4 linked regions of the Sus scrofa genome follow. The main gene of each other region encodes a partner of the protein of the gene in region 4 in a complex. Links are inferred from orthologs where the notes say so. Each region holds a gene or a part of one and is shown on either strand. Other genes may lie near its edges. The genes, in order: APOOL, APOO, CHCHD3 and IMMT.

What was found.
Region 1: IMMT (region 4) and APOOL share a complex: the UniProt entries of both Homo sapiens proteins name them as parts of the mitochondrial contact site and cristae organizing system (MICOS) complex. The link is inferred for Sus scrofa from reciprocal best matches to the Homo sapiens genes IMMT and APOOL.
Region 2: IMMT (region 4) and APOO share a complex: the UniProt entries of both Homo sapiens proteins name them as parts of the mitochondrial contact site and cristae organizing system (MICOS) complex. The link is inferred for Sus scrofa from reciprocal best matches to the Homo sapiens genes IMMT and APOO.
Region 3: IMMT (region 4) and CHCHD3 share a complex: the UniProt entries of both Homo sapiens proteins name them as parts of the mitochondrial contact site and cristae organizing system (MICOS) complex. The link is inferred for Sus scrofa from reciprocal best matches to the Homo sapiens genes IMMT and CHCHD3.

What each region holds. Positions count from the first base shown.
Region 1 is NC_010461.5:68,326,390-68,331,199, forward strand, and holds part of APOOL (MICOS complex subunit MIC27), read left to right. Parts: intron 1-864; coding exon 865-984; intron 985-3,943; coding exon 3,944-3,998; intron 3,999-4,810. UniProt on the Homo sapiens protein: Component of the MICOS complex, a large protein complex of the mitochondrial inner membrane that plays crucial roles in the maintenance of crista junctions, inner membrane architecture, and formation of contact sites to the outer membrane.
Region 2 is NC_010461.5:20,014,117-20,019,586, forward strand, and holds the start of APOO (MICOS complex subunit MIC26), read right to left. Parts: upstream 3,669-5,470; 5' UTR 3,417-3,668; coding exon 3,408-3,416; intron 1-3,407. UniProt on the Homo sapiens protein: Component of the MICOS complex, a large protein complex of the mitochondrial inner membrane that plays crucial roles in the maintenance of crista junctions, inner membrane architecture, and formation of contact sites to the outer membrane.
Region 3 is NC_010460.4:16,310,569-16,315,378, reverse strand, and holds part of CHCHD3 (MICOS complex subunit MIC19), read right to left. Parts: intron 1,607-4,810; coding exon 1,471-1,606; intron 1-1,470. UniProt on the Homo sapiens protein: Component of the MICOS complex, a large protein complex of the mitochondrial inner membrane that plays crucial roles in the maintenance of crista junctions, inner membrane architecture, and formation of contact sites to the outer membrane.
Region 4 is NC_010445.4:58,591,765-58,596,574, reverse strand, and holds part of IMMT (MICOS complex subunit MIC60), read right to left. Parts: intron 2,960-4,810; coding exon 2,886-2,959; intron 996-2,885; coding exon 806-995; intron 1-805. UniProt on the Homo sapiens protein: Component of the MICOS complex, a large protein complex of the mitochondrial inner membrane that plays crucial roles in the maintenance of crista junctions, inner membrane architecture, and formation of contact sites to the outer membrane.

The sequences.
Region 1 (4,810 bases), on a different chromosome or scaffold from region 4:
TGGCTAATCATAAAATCCTTTTTAAGTTCAGCTCATCTTGTTAGACATCTTCTTTAAAAGTAGCAATATACTTTTATATAATTTTACTTTTATATAATTAATAAGATGGTCTTATTAATTACCATCTAGTGAATATAATTAAATCTTTCATTTTTAGAAAACTGCAGAGCTATGAGGTGACCTTTTTATAAAACCATAAAATTCACAGTATTCTGACTAGAAAATAACTGGCAGTTGGGTTGTGTGGATATAGTCAACCACATACATTACTGGATGTTTCTTTTTAAAGTATTTCTATAATGCGAGTTTGACTTTTCTTGTTGTTTTCTTGTTTTCAGCCAAAAAATAATGGAAGAAATATTAATTTGAGAGTTCTAGTTACTTTGGTTCAATTTAAATGTTGTTAGTTTACTGAATCTTAGCTTAAATTTTTTTTTTCCTTTTTAGGGCCACACGCATGGCACATGGAAGTTCCCAGGCTAGGGGTTGAATCTGAGCTACAGCTGCTGGCCTATGCCACAGCAATAGCAACACGGGATCCCAGCCTCATCTGAAATTTATACCACAGCTCATGGCAACACCAGATCCCTGACCCTCTGCTCGAGGCCAGGGATCAAACCTGCATCCTCATGGATACCAGTCGTGGGTTCGTTTCAGCTGAGCCATAACGAGAACTCCTCTTATAATGTCTAATCAGGTACAAACAAGTTGTACTTATACAGTAGATGGCATTTAAGCCAAGGGCCTCCAATCCATGATGAGAATGTTCTTTCATTGGTCAAGACAAAATTCTCAGAATGGAGTAGAAATCCCAGCTATTGTATATTTTTGACATGATGATTTTTTTTTTTTTTTTGCTTCTAGCTCCCTATATATACTGCACCACCTCTTCAGTCTAAATATGTTGAAGAACAGCCTGGTCGTTTACAAGTGGGCTTTGCATCCATTCGCACTACAACTGGTCGTTATCTTGGCTGGTGCAAGGTAAGTGAATTCTAACAGTGGTTTGATGTTGGAGGTTTTTTGTTTGTATTACATAACAATTGATCCAGTTATCCATTGATGTATAACAAACTACCCTAAAACTTAGTGGTTTTAAACATCAACTATTCTATTACATCTCATGATTTTGTGAGTCAGAAACATAATCAGGCTTTAAACAGGTGATTCTTTTGTTGCATATGGTGTTGACAGAAGTCACTCAAAGGTACTTGTCAAGTGAATGGGCTGACCTAGAGATTCAAGAAAGCTTCACTCAACCCTGGCACCTTGTCACAGATGATCGAGGCACCTACACCTGGACTCTCAGGTAGTCAGATAGCTTACATGGACAGTTCAGGGCTCCTAGTGAAAATCTTACAAGAGACTCTTGTCAGAATTTTCCAAGCTTCTTACCTATCTTAAGATGTCCCAGAAAGTCACTTCTACAGCATTCCATTGTTGAATCAAGTTTCTAAGGCCAACCCAGTTTTTACAGGAGAGGAATTAGATCCCACTCTCAATATGAGTAGCAGCAAAGAATTTGTGGCCATATTTAATCTACTATACCAGCACTGCATAGATTAAAGTAGTTCAGCAGGCATTTACATCACGTAGCATGTATAAAACATTGCTTGACCTTTTAGGTGAAATTCTGAGATTAATTCTGTATTGTTCCTTATTTGGCTGAGTAAAAAGTTCACTTGGGATAAGACCATTCTGACTACAGTCAGCTATTGGGCAAAATAGAGTTTACCTTATTTTAATATTTAGTCTTCCAATCAGCATTATCCAGCAGCAGAGTGGTGGAGTAAGCTAGTACAATACTACTGTTCCATTATTATCTAATCCGCATAGGTGTTAGCATCAACATCTCCATTGTTAGTGCCATAATGATAATGCTGGTACCATTTTTTTCCTCATTCTGACCTAATAACCACATAACTTTTCCTCAAATCTGACCTACCCAATTGTGAACCCTTGTGCTTCTTGTTTCTAATTCATTTTTAAAACGAGAAGTCTAATGATTTTGTGAAATATCAAATCTGTGAACTCTGCTCATTTCAGATGATATTTCAAACATCTAATGAATACATGGTGTTATTTTTTTTTATTTGTGCCTGTCAAACAATTCTAATAGACTCTTAATACACTCTTAATAGTTTGACTAGTACTACATATTCTTAATAGTTTGGTCAGCAGGAAATAGCTTAACTAATTAGGTGCTTAGTCACGTACCCGAGGCTATATGCCAATAGCTGGATGATTCCGACTGAAGTCTCTTGAGACTTTTTCCAAAGTTCTCAAAGTTGTTTCAGAGAGGTAAATTGTTCCTGAGAGATTGTAAATTGTTCTCGAGAGATTGTTAAATAGAAAATTTCATAGCAGCTAGTTCAGAGAAGGAGACCATGTATTTGGATTGTGTTTTCTAGTTCCATCGATAGAGTACAGCATGACTATGGGCATTAACTACTGGTAAATCATTCAGAAATATGCTGAAACCAATAGGTTAAAGAAGGGTGCTTTAGAATGCATTTCATCTTTGATGTAAGCATTTCATCTTTAATTTTATCTTAAAAACGTAATCTATTTTTTAAAAATTACCTCTGACTCAAATTACATTCTGCGTTAAACTTAGACTCATGTAGGGCAAATTCAATTCCTATTCCTACTCCTTACTGTTTTAAAATTTAGATAGCAGTGACCTCCAGTGGTAAAAGTGAATTTCTAAACACACCTAAGAAGAAATTTCCCGAAAAGAACTGACTAGTTTTCTTCCTCAACAGTTACATGATTCCCAGACAACTGGTCGATAAGTATTGTAACTTTGAAGGTGAAATTTTCTCAAGAGCCTATCCCTTAAAAGAAGTAGCTCATTAATAGTTAGGATATGTGTTGGTTTGTATAGCTTTAAACCGTAATGAACAGGATAAACTTCTGCATTTGATTATCATGAAAATATCTGAAGCAGTTACTAATACCAAGATCTATCTATAGCAATAACATTTCTTTCCCGTCTGATAAAATCATTTCTATTTTCTTTGCTTTGAAAATCTGTTTTGTTGTTTTTTAATCCCATGGTTTCATAGCAGCTAGTTCAGAGAAGGAGACCATGTATTTGGATTGTGTTTTCTAGTTCCATTGATAGAGTACAACATGACTATGGGCATTAACCACTGGTAAAACATTCTTTGCCTTTGTATTTCTTCTAATGTAATTGAGATTGTACCTATCACTTAATAAATGTGTGTAACAGTATTTCTGGCATTAGCTTAAGTTAGTTAGAAACAGGTAATTTAATTTAAAGCCCTAATCCTTCCAATGGGTAAATATAATCTTGATTTATAGAGAATTTATGTTCTTACTGAAAACAAGATGGGCACTAGTCTGTATAGGATAATTTCTATCCTGAGATAAATGTTTTATTTAGAGTTTTTTCTCATTCTCATGCACATTAAGGAAAAAGAGAAGATGAAGTACTTTTCTTTATGCTTTTTGTTGTTGTTTTCTCCACAAATCATTGTTGTTGCCGCCACATCTTTATTAATCAGGTATTGCTTCTAAGCTGAAATATTCATCTCCATGTTTTATTTAAGTTCCATTCATTTTTCTAGTCTATCATAAACTAATATGATAACTCATTGTATTTCTGCAATAACTTTTCTGTGAGCTGCTCTGATTATTTTATAGGTATTGCTTTACCCATTTATATGAGGAAATTAGTAAACAAATGTTATCCATGTTAAATGGAATGAAAAACAAATGAAGAGAAGCTAAGTTGAATAAGTGCCCTCATAGAGAGTAAATAGGAAAGCTAGATTTAGATTTGGGTGCATGCTAAATCAGCATTTTCCTATAATCTCAGAGACATGTTCTGTTTGATCTAATTATCAAATTTTATAATTATCTAATTATCAAATTATCTTAAAAAATGCTGATGTCCTTTCTCCCCCCTTTTATTTAGAGTGCTTATGTCTTCATGAAAAATGGGATAAAGGATGCAGTACAATTTGGAAAAGGTAAGTTAGTGAACCATCAATATAATTAGAAATGTTGTATAGTCTTTTTAACTTGCAAGGTTTAAATGTCAGAAAAATTAACTTGGTATGTTATCCATTATCATGTTTTACTAACTCAGAAGACACCCTGTATAGGAGTTTATAAACAAAGCACTATTTAGTATCCATTATTTAGCAGTTATTATACGCTAAGGCACTATGATAAGCATTTTATATATCTAATTTAATTTTGTATCAAATACCTGAGTGTTGGTATTATAATTATTCTCATTTTATAGATGAGGAAATGGGTTTGGAAGGATTAGGTAGGTTACCAAGGTCATATAGCTAGTAAGTGACAGCATCTGGACTATGGTCTGTTTTAGCTACAGAACCCGTATTATATACTCATGAAGCATAAATTAGAAACATAACTCCATTGTTATCAATTAGTTTAATTAAGTGCTATTTGCTGTTAAAATACATGATATTTTGCTATCGATTGCTAGGAAAGACTACACCAATTAGTCACCCTAGAATATTGGAGCTAATGTTGGAAAACAATTGCATTTGACTCTTTACTTTGACAATGGTGTTTGGCAGCAGATATAGCTTCCTAATATCCTTATTATAAGCCAGTTGTCAAAATAAATGTGTGTGGGGTACGGAAGGATCAAATAAAATTTTAAATGTCTCCATCATGTTGATGATCTATATATGTATTATATTTAATGTGTGTGGTAATTAATTCTGAGTTATAATCCTTATTAACCTTGAGGAATATGACTTTAAGTGATCACTATTAATAACTATAATAGAAGAGTGTGTTTTTG
Region 2 (5,470 bases), on a different chromosome or scaffold from region 4:
GGTAAACTGACCCCATCCTGGGCTGATTCTGCTTAGTCTAGGCACATCAGGGCATGGCATTCCCCTAGCACTAGCTATTGGGTCAGGGCCAAATACCTGACCTAAGTTGGTCCAATCAGATTGAAGGGAAACTGTAGTTCAAGCCTGGGAGTTTTATTCTCTCTCTTACTCTAGTGAATGGGAAAGCATGTGTTACTGGCAATCTTACAACCACAAGGAGAACCAGTCTAACTGTGGAAAGCCAAGAAAAGAGATGGGGACCTTGAAAACAATGTTGACCCAGTAAAGTCCACCCTTCCTCTGCATTTTGTGAAAAAAAATTCCTTACTATTTAAGCAGTTGGATTTTCCCACCTGAGAGCATTCTAACATAGCCTGCCCTTGAAACTTCCCTCCCTTAATTGTTTAAACATCACTCTGGTGCTCCTACTTCTACTTATCAGGTTGCTTCTCAAAATCTCTGGGCTCCCCTCTTCCTCATACTCCTCCTTAAATTTTGGTATCCAACAAGGTCTGCTGTGAGCTTTTCGACTCAAAGTACATGTTTCAACAATTTCAGCTCCCTTTATCTTTCCCTTGATACAGAAGAACTGATCTACCAGCACTTCCCCCATGGAGTACCACTGCTGCTGTTCCGTGGCTCATCCACCTGAGGAACTCCTGGCTTTCAAAACTTGCCTCACCTGAAGTCCCCAGGGGTTCATTGCCTTTTTTGTGCCACCATCTTCTTTGGCAGTCTGGTAAGCCCTAGGGACCCCTTCTCAAAATAATGCTTCTAACTGCATTTTATAAATGCCAATTATATTGCAATATAGTTGTTTTTAAAACCCCAAATCTGATATAGTAATGTGTACTTCTTTATTAGCTCTTTAAGTTAAAAAAACCTATTAGAGAGTCTTATAACTACTATAATCTTTTTCTTTTTCTTTTTTTTTTTTTTTTTTTGTCTTTTTGCCATTTCTTGGGCCGCTCCGGCGGCATATGGAGGTTCCCAGGCTAGGGGTCCAATTGGAGCTGTAGCCACCAGCCTACGCCAGAGCCACAGCAACGCAGGATCCGAGCCGCGTCTGCGAGCTACACCACAGCTCACGGCAACGCCGGATCGTTAACCCACTGAGCAAGGGCAGGGATCGAACCAGCAACCTCATGGTTCCTAGTCGGATTGTTACCACTACGCCACGACGGGAAGTCCCATAACTACTATAATCTTAAAGCAGTGATAAGCATAAATATCTTGAGATCTGGAACCACTGTAATGTGATATGAAAATGTCTGTGACATGCATTGGTCCTGCTGACTTCTATTGGTGACTACCACTAGTTTGTGGCTGTAGTAACTTAATTAATTGCTCCCCATGAACCACATGTTCTCGTATCTGTGCTGTTCTGTAACCTCACACCATACTGACTCGGGCCTTGGCCATGTGACTTGTTTTGACATCAGCAAATGCGATATAAGCATGTGTTTATGCACCGGGACTAGGCTTCTTAGAACCCAGTAACCATGTAAGGGAGCCCAAAACAGCCACATTGAGGGGCCCCAGGCCCACTGATATGAGAGTAAGGCTACCTCATAGTATAGCCACCAGTTGAATTCTGTCACTAGAGGATGCCGGCAGAACTGTCCAGACAACCTATAGATGGTGAGAAGTAATAAATCACTGTTGTTTTAAGGTCATTATCTGGAAACTGGTAATTGAAACTGTTAACCTACATTCATAACTGAAAGAAATGCTAAATTTCAGCAGATTAATGAAACTGATTTTTTTTTTCCCTGCCAGAATTTAAAGATCCTCTTAATTCTATCCAGACCTTCTAAGGGGCCAAGAACCACAGCTTAAGAACCCTTGGTAAAACAGAGGAGATGATACTCTCCTTTTCACCACCACAGAACACTGCTGATAACCATATGAAATGATCACAGCATACTCTTTATTGTCGCAACACAGTGTACCCTTTGTTGTTGCAACCCTCAAACTAAGCCAGGCTCCTAGCACATAATAGGTATTCAACACAAATTTATCAAACAAAACCAAGTTGCTTATGAGATCTGTTGTCCTAACTAAACTGTGAGCTACCTGAAAACAAAATAAAAGCAAATACCTGGATGTCACTTCTATGTGCCAGGGCCTCTTACAAATTCTTTACACATACTAACTTATTTATTCCTTATAACAAGCCTACAGGTAAATGTTGTTTCCCTAACTTCACCAATAAAAAAACAGGCTCAGAGAGGTTAAGTGACTTGCTCAAGGTCACACATCTAGAACGTGGCAACTCCAGGAATGGAAGGCCAAACCCACATTCTGACTTTAGAGCCTGTCCCAGTGTACCCAAAGCACGTTGTAGGCACTCAATAAAACTTTTAAGGAGTTCCCGTCGTGGCTCAGGGGTAAACGAATCCGACTAGGAACTATGAGGTTTCAGGTTCGATCCCTGGCCTTGCTCAGTAGATTAAGGATCCTGAGTTGCCCTGAGCTATGGTGTAGGTCGCAGACGCGGCTCAGGTCCCGTTGCTGTGGCTATGGCGTAGACCGGCAGCTACAGCTCTGATTAGACCCCTCGCCTGGGAACCTCCATATGCCACAGGAGCGGCCCTGGAAAAAGGCAAAAAAAAAAAAAAAAAAAAAAAAAACACTTTTAAATGAGTAGTATAATTCTGAGATTTCATTAGCAGTCTTTTATGGGTACAATGCTTCTTGACTCAATTTTGTAGACTCATTTCTGGTAGCTTGCGATTTGTTCTTCATTATAAAAAATATCATTTACTTTTTTTGAAGGAGAATAATGGCTTCATGTTAAAATGCAGATTTTCGAAACAGTCTTCACTGTAAAAGTCTTTCAAAGGACACGAGTTCAAAAACTGTAAAGAAGGGGCTCGACCTGTCCATACTATATAATGTTCACTGGGGAGGAGAAAGTCCAGCTTCTTCCCCTAACCCAGCCGTTCCATTCCCATGCCAGTCTCCCCGACTTCCTGCAGGAGCTTCGCCGAAGGTGACCTCCCCCATTCATACCAGGTTCTAAAACCTGACCTTGCCCGGCACAACCAAAGCCGAACCCCGCGGTGCCCTAAGCTGGCCTAACCCTACTCACGAACTCAAGAGGGCACCAGCCAGAGTGTGGATACTGTGAGGGATACTTTAACTTTTTAAAACATTTTATTCCCGAGAGCACGACCAAAGGGCCCAACCCACCACCCTCGAATCTCCCGCCTCCTGTGCCTCAACCGCAAACTCCAGGCGGACCGGTGAATGACCCTCGGGACCGGGACACAGGCAGCCCGGAGGCGGGAAAAGCCTCAAAGCGAGCCAGTTCTGGTTCCCAGAGAGGCCCAAAAGAGCGCGGGGAGAGCTGCAGGCGGCCGGGAAGGGGCGGTGACAGTTGTGACCCGGCTCGACACTCTCACCTTGAACATGTCGCTGGCAGCGGCGGCTCCGGCGGGGTCACCCGGCCTCGGCCACGCCCACTATAGAGAGGTAACTACGGCGGCCGATTAGGGCCCGATTCCTCCGACCGCAAGCGGGCCGCGGTGCGGGTAACAGGCGTACAGCCAATTCGATCCCGCTAAGGCTTAACTCGGAAGCTTGGGCTGCTAGCAGCGTCGTTGAGCTGCAGCGCGTCGCGCCTCAGGCGGCGAACACAAGCCCCGCCTTCCGGAGGCTCCGCCCCTGCGCCGGCGGTTGCTAGGCGGCGGGAAAGCGCCAGCTCAGTGTGGGCGGCACGCGGGGGCGCTAGGAGGGAGGCGCCGAGCGCAGAGCCGTGCTGGGAATTGGCCTTCGCCGCCGTGATTGGGCGCCAGCAGCGTGGGTTGGGAAGCCTGTGTGCGGAGGCCGCCGGGCGGGGGCGCTCGGCAGGCCTCTGGTGGCTTCGAAAGCCTCGCAGCCGGAAGCTACCGACCTCGGGGGCCTGGATTTACCTCACAAAAGGTTTTTAGTTTTGTGGGGTTTTTTTTTTCACCCTTGTTTAGCCATTTCCAAGATTTTAAATTTAAACTAATTTGCCTTGTCCTTTAGTCTTGAAAGAGCCCGACATTTTTTTCTTCTTTAAAATGCTTAAGCGTATGTTTCTCACAGGGAATCAAATGTTTGTCCTTTAATTAGAGTAGAAATAAGTAATAATGACAAAAATTATCTTATTAACAAGAATAGCAACCACCAACAGCGTTTACTATGTAACTTGCTCTGATGTAAACTCCTTACACATACTCTTCTTTCCAACAACCCAAGTAGGTGGGCACGATTATTATCTCCCGTCAAATACATGAAGAAACCGAGGCTCAGAGAAGTAATATGTGGAAGGTCATACAGAAGGAAAGTGGGAAGCCAGGATTCAAACCTCAGTAGCCTGGCTTTAAAGCCTGTGATCGCAAGTAAACAACTGTTGTAGTGTCTCATACCGGGGTTGTATTTCATGTTTCATTCTGTATTTCATTCTAATCCCGCAGCAAATGTAAGCCCATCCGGGGCAGGCATCCAGAAGATTTTGGGAGTTTGGTGCGGTGTCACTGCTCTCCAGCCAAGATCACTAAGAATACTGTAGTTGAACAAGCTGAGTTCATTTCTCTTTGGTGCCAGGAGAACGCACCCTTGGGAAACGGTGGGGCATCTCAGTAAGAGGGTGTTAGATTTATTCTAGGATTTGGGGCTTTGGTTGGGGGGTTTGCGGGTGAGTTCAGGGAAGCGAGTCCTTGTTCTGGATTGGGTGGTGCTAGGAAGCCAGGGCTAACACGAAAGCCCAGGTGTGGGTGCCAGGCCAGCTCCCAGATGTTAAGGGCTACTTTTCTCTTTCTCAAGAGAATTGTATATCCCTAGCCTTCCCTATACCTAAGGAGAACTATTTAGGAGACTCTGAAGGCTCTGCATCAGTAATGGAATGTCATATGTGTATAAGAGTGTGACTTATAAATGGTAAGTTAGGGCAGAAATTCTTAATTCTGGAGGTACATGAACTTGGGGAAAAATTACAACTTTATTTTCACTAACCTATAACTGAACTTTAACAGTTCTTTAAATTGTGGTGTAGGTAACCACAGTAGTTCAGCGGTACCTATGACTTTGTCATCAGTAGAAAGCACAGATATTTTCATATCATATTATAGTCACAGCAGATTTCTTGAAATATCATTTCTGCTCATTACCACTTCACAAGTACTGTAATTATTAGAGCTCTCATTTTTTATTTTATTTAATGCATAAAGAAGACATTTCTATAATTTTGTTTTTGAAAATATTTTTACAATGATTTCAATATAATTGAAGTCTTTTGTAACCCTATATATTTTAGATTATGGGTTTAAAAAAACATAATTCTTATTCAATATCCCGTGTTAAACCATAATGGAAAAGAATATGAAAAAGAATATATATGTGTGTGTGTATCTGTATGTACACATATATGTGTATAACTGAATCACTTTGTTGTACAGCAGAAATTAATACAACAATGTAAATCAACTATCCTTCAATTAAA
Region 3 (4,810 bases), on a different chromosome or scaffold from region 4:
CCTCTGTTTTATTCTGTAAATGCACACTGTTGATCTCATGGGGCTACGTAGAGATAGGTCAACACACTTGACAATCAGGATGGAGTCCACTCCAGACACCACTACAGGTGCTCCTGCAGTAATGTTAGCAGTCACGCTGGAGACACAGGCACCTACGTTACCAGACACTAGCGCTGGACACACACTTAGTCACCACCATTCTGTGCACTGACCACCTCCCCCACTCAAGAGAGCACTAACATCACACGGTCAAAGTCCTCACGGTTCCACATGCTTCAGTTACTGTCAATACTGAAGGCTGGAGGTGGTCAAGAGCAAATCAGAAGCTGTTTTTGAAAATTAAAATGTACTAACTTAACATTAGCAACATTACTTTTACCAAAGGCCTCAGAAGAGCGGAATCCCTGGCATACCACTAAGTTATGTAGGTGTTGTATAAGCAAGAAACAGAAAAAAGCCTCAAGCCACAAGGCTTTTAAAGACAACACAAGCCTTTACTCTATTTTGGTTTTAGTTTTTTCTACCAGTGTCGCTGTTATTTTCCAGCTATCTAGACAATACTGACCCTCCCACTAGATATTTATGGTGATAGAAATTTATATTAAGCGGCATTCTCATAACTACAGCAAATTAGACCACAGGAAGGCATGCTGTGCAACTCAAACACTAAATTCAGTTGGGTTGGAAGGTCAACTATAGGGAGTTTGTCAGCACAAAGAACCAAGGTTTCCAACAATTTCCATCTCTCAGAAAAACCTATATCCAACTGTTACAATCAGTTAAATGATAGGCAATTATGTGACCTGCCAAATGGATATTTTGCTTCAGGGTTTATCATTAGCTTTCTGAAGTACATAAATTACAGAAAAATACATGTCCCATGATCATCATATTACTCTGACAGGAAGGATCATAAGAATATATCCATGGTACACAGAAGCGACGGATATCGCTTCCTAAATCCATCTCCGGCCTCTCTTTCCCTGCCCAACTGACTGGACTCCACCAATTAGTAAAAGACTGAATGATGCTAGCATGGTGGGCTTTTGTTTTAGTTTGAGTGTTTGCCTTTTGTTTGTTTTAAAACAGGCTCTAGCTGTCTCTAGATCTGAAGCTGCTGGCCCAGTATGGGGCAATGACCTTGAGGACACAATTACTGAGTAGAGGACAAAAGTTCAGAGCAACTGGAAAAGGCATTATTTACAGATTTTTAAAAATTTATTTACTTATTTATTTATTTACTTATTTGTTTCTGGGAGTAAGTTGAACACAAGGAGACTGTGGGCTCTTTCTACAACTACCCAAATGAAAGTTGGTTAGGACCTAACCAAGTCTTGATAGCAACCCTTGAAGGTGACAACTAGTTTGGCTTTTAAAGCTTTTCCATACATATTAGCCTAGTGCGCCCTTCCGAGTGCCCTTGGGCTTTCTGTTCCTCTGACGCCCAGTGAGCCTGGCTTGCACACCTACCTGTTTGGCCTGATTGACACAGCGCATGTACTCGCTGGCCAGAGCGGAGCAGCTGAGGGTCTGCTGGGTGTTCTGGCGGTAACACTGGAGAATCTGGGCCTGCAGGTCGGCACAGACGGGATGGCATTCATACCGCCTGAAAACAAAAACACAGACCACTGAGACAACCGGTCTTCAACCAGAATAAAGATAAAGACCAAAGAAGAGACAAAACAGTAAATGGATATAAATGTTGCAAATGCCACAAAAAAGTTTAAGAGAAATCGTTTTCTTCAACTTTTTTTTTTTAATTCGGCCGTGCCCACAGCACATAGAAGTTCCTGGGCCAGGGATCCAACTCACTGCGACCCAAGCTGCTGCAGGGACAAGGCCAGATCCTTAACCTGCTGCGCCACAAGGGCATACCTCTTCAACTTTTAGATGATTTCTGTGAAATCAGTTCTATTAATCGATGCCACCAAGAGACTCTGGATAGTGTCAACATCCCTACCTGACCTGAAACGTAACCATGTGCATTCAGCCCAGCCAGCCAGATCAGCGAGTGGGAGCGCCAAGGTGCTCCTCCATTCCCACTCCAGTTGGTCAGGAAGCTTGAGAACCTGCAGTCCAGTCCTCTTTCACGTATTCATTGTCATCACATTAATTCCGAATCACTTATATCCTGGATTCAAGCCATGACCTCCACAGGTCTCTCTGTCTCTAAGCTTTCACCATCTATTCCTGCCCCCCAGAAGGTTCTTTGTAATATATCAATCTGAGATAGTACCTGCTTTCTAAGTAAAATACAAGATCAACAAGCAGGTCCTTCTGGATCCATTTCTGCCTACTCTTTCACCTCAGTGCACCACCCTGCACGGGCTACAGCCCAGCCAGACCCTGTTCAGGGTTTGGTTCTTACATGTCCCTTTGCACCTTTGATATACTCCTCTTGAGTTTGGAAGTGCTCTGCACCCAAACCCTCACCCATTTCTAGGTATCTCAATACCTGAGCTAAGTACTAGAGTGTCACTTCCTCCCTAGAACTCTCACTAGCTCTCCCCATCCACAGTAGAGTCCCCTTTATGGTGATCCTATGAACTCCTTTCACCATGCACTTAGCACTCACTACATTACAGTCCAGTGCAATTTACTAGCATGCCAATCCCAGGTAGTAAGGACTGCAATTTGTTTTTTGTTTCTGGTCCTTTCAGGGCTGCACTCGCGGCATATGGAGGTTCCCAGGCTAGGGGTCTAATGGGAGCTGTTGCCACCAGCCTACGCCAGAGCCATAGCAACACCAGATCCGAGCTGCGCCTGAGACCTACACTGCAGCTCACGGCAACGCCGGATCCTTAACCCAGGAACTTCTATGTGCTGTGGGCATGGCCAGGAATCGAACCCGCATTCTCATGGATCCTAGTCGGGTAGTTAACCGTTGAACCATGAAGGGAACTCCATGCATCTTATTTGTGATCTCAGCTATCAACACAGATACCTCTAATAAATGTCATGCAATAAATCGTTGAGAATACCAATGGGTGTAGAGAGTATTTTTTTTTAGTTCCCTGAGCTAAAATTTTACTAATTATACTTACAGATCTCAAGATTTTAGTTAGATAGCTTTCAGTGAATATGCAGTACTGGACAAAAATGCTTCCAAAAAGCTGATAATGTACACTTAAAAAATGATAATAAACCAAATGCATTATACAAACAAAAATGAAATATTCTTGTGAAAATGGTAGAAGAACTTTGATTAGAAGGACTAAATACCCAGGAAAAAAATGTTATTATCAGCACTTTAATCTAGATTTCATAATTTTCAAATTAGTTTTGTTTAATGAAGTGGTTTCAGCCTTTCTTATCACTTTTTTGAAACTTAAATTTGTTATTTCCACAGTAATCTTGAAAATAGCATTATTTTAAATTCGATGGGCTCTTAAAAACCCCTAGAGAACACAGGAGAAATATTTCACATCAATAAGGAAACCCCTGGGTGACGATTTGTCTCCTCATTACTTTTATCCAACACACTAAGCTAATATATATATTTTGCTAGAATAGAAAACTGAAATGCAAACCATGTTACTGGCCCCTAAGGGAATTTATTTCCTACTACCCTCTAAAAAAGAAGCCGACAGAGAGAGAGAAAAATATAATCCCACAAGTTTTATACAACATTGCTTGCACTTTTTCACTCATTACCTTACTGTTTTGCCAAATACCTACTACCAGAATTTAAATCCAATCCCAGGAGTTTCAACGCACTTTAAAATTCTGAAGTTCAGATTTCTATGAATTCCTCCAGACATGGATTTCCCTAATACCCTACCATGAACACCAGCATCTGTGCTTCGAGGGGTAGAAGCATAGACGTGACACTAAGTGACTGATTACCGCAAGATGCACATCTGCACAAATACTGAATAAAACAGGATTATGCACCAGGTCAGCTGATCCTAGCACATATAGGACTAATAATGTCTGTAAGAGTTCATAAGGAAGCAGGGGTATATTCTATCTCATTCCCCCCAATATAACTTAGATTTAAAGCAGGGGAAAGGAGATGAGAGAGAAGGCGAGAACCATCCCGACCAGATACGCAGCCCCTCCCCACTAACACACAGGAAAAAACTGTAAAGAATGAGCCTCCACACGCTGCTCATCACAAAGAAGACACTGTGTGGTTTCTTGGTTTTTTTTTTCCCCTCCTGAAAAGACTATTCACAGGGGGTTCACTCATCTAATACTATGAACTCCTTAGAACGAGGTAATTTAAGTTACATGTAAGCATTTACCCTGGGTTGAGCGATGAGTCATGCAAGTTAAAGTCCATGAGTTATTTATGATTTGAAATGTGTCAAAATATACTTTTATCACCACAAATCAATACGACTCACTTCCAGGACCCGTGATTTCCTGTATGGTAATCTGTTCTGTGTGAGTGTGTGTGTGTGTGTGCGCGTGCTTGTGCACGCGAGCAGACATCTTCTGAAATCCTTTTTGTACACATCTCAGCTATACGGATGATTAGATGGTAGGATGGGGGAAGAAGTGTGGAAATCAACATTAACTGCCTTCCAGTTCCTGGACTAGACTCTGGTACATTTTGCTTGGATTAATCTGTTAGGGCAAAGCCCTGCCTCTGTATTGATCTGCAGTGCTTGTTATGCTGCCCTAATGCATGGTTTTCACTTTGGGAAAATGCTAAATGAGATTACCATCTAACATTAGAAGGCCATAAAACCCCAAGCCTCGCACCTTCCATTCAGGAAAAGGGTTTCAAAGACATTTCCAATATGCATTATGGTAAACCCTCCATATAGTCATTGAGTCAGCAATTGATTTTTATTGACTGCTT
Region 4 (4,810 bases):
TTATCTTTCTCAATAACCACCTAATTTAAGGCACTGTTCATGAACAGGACTGCTAGATAATGTACCAGAGAAAATTACTGAGTAAAAGAAATATTTTCATTTACTGCCTATGTTGTCCCCCTTTTTGCCAGAAATTGGCATTGGGACTCAGAGGTCCCAAAGACGACCACTCAGACGTAACAGAATAGGTTCTGAATTTTGTCACTACTGAAAATTAGAAATATATCTAGGAGTTCCCGATGTGGCCTGGCAGGTTAAGAACCCGACTAGTATCCACGATCCCTGGCCTCACTCAGTGGGTTGAGGATCCAGCATTGCCGTGAGCTGTGGTGTAGGTCACAGAAACAGAAGAGATCTCGCATTGCTGGGGCTGTGGCATAGGTTGGCAGCTGCAGCTCTGACTGGACCCCAAGCCTGGAACTTCCATATGCCATGGGTGTGGCCCTAAAAAGACAAAGAAAAAAGAAAACAAAAGAACAATATCTATTTTATTTTTATTTAAGTTTCATTATTTTAACTTATGAAATGCATGCTCACTATAATAAGCTCTGCCTGAGCTCACCATTCCATTTAGCCTGGTGTGCCATATAATTTTTTTCTATGTGGCGTGGACTAAATGAGAGCACTTATAGGACTCCAAAGGGAATCCAGCTCAACATAATATTAGGTCAATTTAAAGAAAAATGACAAACATATACCCAGAAAATTCTACTGAACTATACATACAAAATATTTTTAATATGAAAACAACCTGCTTTTCAAAGTATACCATAGGATAAACTGAAACTGTTCTTAAAACTCTTACCGACTTCTTTGGTAATGGAACAGTATAAGGTGGGGAACCAAGAACCATTTCAAAGAGTTTGTCTGAATAAGGTATGGTTTTCTCTACATTTGTCCGGAAATGCGAATCCCATTTGGCATACAGAATAGTGCCACCAATACCACCACCAACGAATAAAATGCCAGCGCCGGCAATTTTGCCAGGAGACAACCTAAGTGAAAGAAATAGGAAACACATTTTTGTTTTTCAGTTCTCTTAAACGTACTTCCCTAGACCAATAAGAGTCTCAAAGACCTCGGGCCTGTAATTCTCTACCGCTGATTCAGATGACAGCAGCCCAGTTTATCACCACAGCTACAATCACCTTTCACTCATTTTTTAAAAAACTTTTATTGAAGTATAGTTGATTCACAATGTTGTATTACCTGATTTGATTTTAACATGTTCATAATTTTTAAAAAATGCTTATTTTTTACTTGTGGAATTTTTTTTTTTTAAATAGTAATATCCGGTACAGGAAAAACCAAGCAATTTGCCCTTTAATACTTAAAACTTAGCATGTTCACAGTCATGAAGTTTCCTCTGAACTCAAAAAACAAGTATCACTAATCTTCAAAGCTCCTTTCCCTGGAGTTCCTGCTGTGGCGCAGTGGGTTAAGAATTCAACTATAGGAGTTCCCGTCATGGCTCAGCAGAAACAAACCTGACTAGTATCCATGAGGATGCAGGTTTGATCCCTGGCCTAGCTTAGTGGGTTACGGATCCAGTGCTACCCTGAGTTGTGGTGTAGGTTGCAGATGTGGCTCGGATCTGGCACTGCTGTGGCTATGGCATAGGCTGGCAACCACAGTTCCAATTCAACCCTTAGCCTGGGAACCTACATATGCCAGGGGCACACCCCTAAAAAGACAAAAAAAAAAAAAAAGAATCCAACTTATAATAGCTCGGGTTGCTACGAAGCCACAGGTTTGATACTCAGCCCAGCACAGTGGGTTAAAGGATCCAGCATTGCTGCAGTTGTGGCTTGGATTCAATCCCTGGCACAGGATCTTCCATATGCTATGGGTATGGCCTTAAAAAAAAAGTCCTCCCCCTTATTAACCATTTCTGTAGGAAATTCTCTGGTGGCATAGCAGGTTAAGAATCTGGTGTTATAGTTCCCACTGTGGCACAGTGGTTAAGGATCCAACTGCAGCAGCTCCGGTCGCTGGAGAAGCATGGGTTTGATCCTCAGACAGGCGCAATGTGTTAAGAATCTGGTGTTGCCAGCTATGGCTTGGATTTGATCCCTGACCTGGGATCTTCCATACGATGAGGGTGCAGCAAAACAAAACAAAACAAAACAAAAAGAATGCAGTATTGTCACTGCTGTGGTGTGGGTTTGATCCCTAGCCCACATGCATGTGTTTGATCCACATGCCTTGGGAACAGCAAAAAACAAACAAAAAAAACCCAAAAACACATTTCTGTAAATACAATAAAATGAACGTCAAGGAGAACAAATACTTTTAATTTCCAACCTGCTGAGTTCTGGGTATAAATCTAAATCTATTTGCCATAGAATGGAAGACAGCACAGGAGGGGATGGGGGGGCTAGGGTCTCTACCCTGAATTTCATCCAATCAGCAAAGAACCAAAAGGCACACCATAACAAATTTTTACCTACAAATAAGTGATGCTCCAAAGATATTATGGCAAAGTTCCAATGTGTGTACCCCTTTAAAAAATTTTTGGCGTTCCCGCTGTGGCTCAATGGTTAACAAGTCCAACTAGGAACCATGAAGTTGCTGGTTTGATTCCCGGTCTCACTCAGTGGGTTAAGCATCCAACGTTGCTGTGAGCTGTGGTGTAGGTCAAAGATGCAGCTCGGATCCCACGTTTCTGTGGCTCTGGCGTAGGCCGATGGCTACAGCTCCAATTAGACCCCTACCCTGGGAACCTCCATATGCTGAAGGAGCACCCTAGAAAAGGCAAAAAGACAAAAAAAAAAAAAAAAAAAAAAATTAAGCAGATATTTCCATATTCAAGAAACACACACACAGAGACACACACCCTTAGCACACAATTAAAAAGTCTGTGTATAGGGAGATATACTACATACCGGGAACTGCCTGAGGTGGAGTATCTGCGGCATGGTCGGAGTGGACGGAGGACAAACTTCCCACAGAGACAACTCTAGAGAAGAAGGAGGAAACAGCACAATCAATACAGTCGTAGGAGGAGTTCCCGTCGTGGCTCAGTGGCTAACGAATCCAACTAGGAACTATCGAAGTTGCAGGTTTGATCCCTGCCCTTGCTCAGTGGGATAAGGATCCGGCGTTGCTGTGGCTGTGGCATAGGCCAGCAGCAACAGCTCCGATTAGACCCCTAGCCTGGGAACCTCCATATGCCTCGGGAGCGGCCCTAGAAAAGACCAAAAGAAAAAAAAAAAAAAAAAAATACAGTCATAGGAATCTGGGAGGCTTTTAGGGCTAGGAACTCAAAAGCAATACTTTTATTATAAAAGTCTTCATTAAACAGAACGTTTTTTTTTTAATTGTTTTGTTTGTTTTTGTCTTTAAGCCACACACACGGCATATGGAGGTTCCCAGGCCAGGGGTCAAATTGGAGCTGTAGCTGCCAGCCTACACCACAACCACAGCAACTAGGAATCTGAGCCGCATCTGAGACCTACACCACAGCTCACGGCAACGCCAGATCCTTAACCCACTGAGTGAGGCCAGGGATCGAACCCACATCCTCATGGATGCTAGTCAGGTTCATTAACTGCTAAGCCATGATGGGAACTCCAACAAAAATTTATTTTCAGAAACCAATTTACCATGGAATAAAGACCCTTAAAAACAGTGATGCTGGGAGTTCCTGTCATGGCACGGTGGAAACAAATCCAACTAGGAACCATGAGGTTGCAGGTTCAATCCCTGGCCTCGCTCAGTGGACTAAGGATCCAGCGTTGCCCTGAGCTGTGGTGTAGGTCGCAGATTTGGCTTGGATTGGCATTGCTGTGGCTGTGGTGTAGGCTGGCAGCTACGGCTCCAATTAGACCCTAGCCTGGGAACCTCCACAGGCCACAGGTGTGGCCCTAAAAAAAAGACAAAAAACAAACAAAAAAAACCCACAAAAAACACCAGTGATGTTTCCTGCACCTCAAGACTCATAAAATTACTTTCAAGATCTCAAAAAAAGAAAGTATCAGGGAGGTCCCATTGTGGCTCAGTGAATTAAGAATCCAACTAACATTCATGAGTATGCAGGTTCGATCCCTGGCCTCACTCTGTGGGTTAAGGATCTGGCATTGCCACAAGCTGTGGGCATAGGTCTTGGATGCAGCTTGAGTACCATATTACTGTGGCTGTGGTGTAGGCCGGCAGCTACAGCTCCAATTCTATCCCTAGCCTAGGAACTTGCACATACCACATGTGTACCTGTAAAAAGGAAAAAAAAAAAGTTTTTAAATTTAAAAAAGAGACTATCAGGAGTTCCCATCATGGCACAGTGGTAAATGAATTTGACTAGGAACCATGACGCTGCGGGTTCGATCCCTGGCCTTGCTCAGTGGGTTAAAGATCCAGCGTTGCCGTGAGCTGTGGTGTAGGTTGCAGACATGACTTGGATCCCATGTTGCTGTGGCTCTGGCGTAAGCCAGTGGCTACAGCTCTGATTAAACCCCTAGCCTGGAAACCTCCGTATGCCATGGGAGTGGCTCTAGATAAGGCAAAAAGACAAAAAAATAAAAAATAAATAAATAAATAAAAATAAAAAGAGACTATCAGATGATCAGCAATTAATACTTTTCTCTTACTGAGGTATAGTTAATATACATTATATAAGTTTCAGGTGTACAACTTACTATCACAATTTTTAAATGTTATACCCCACTTATAGTTATTAGAAAATACTGGCTATATTCTCTGTGCTGTACAATATATCCTTGAAGTTTATTTTATGCATAAGTTTGTACCTCTTAATCTCCTACCCCTATTTTGCCCCTCCACCCTCCCCACTGGTAATCAATCACTAGTTTGT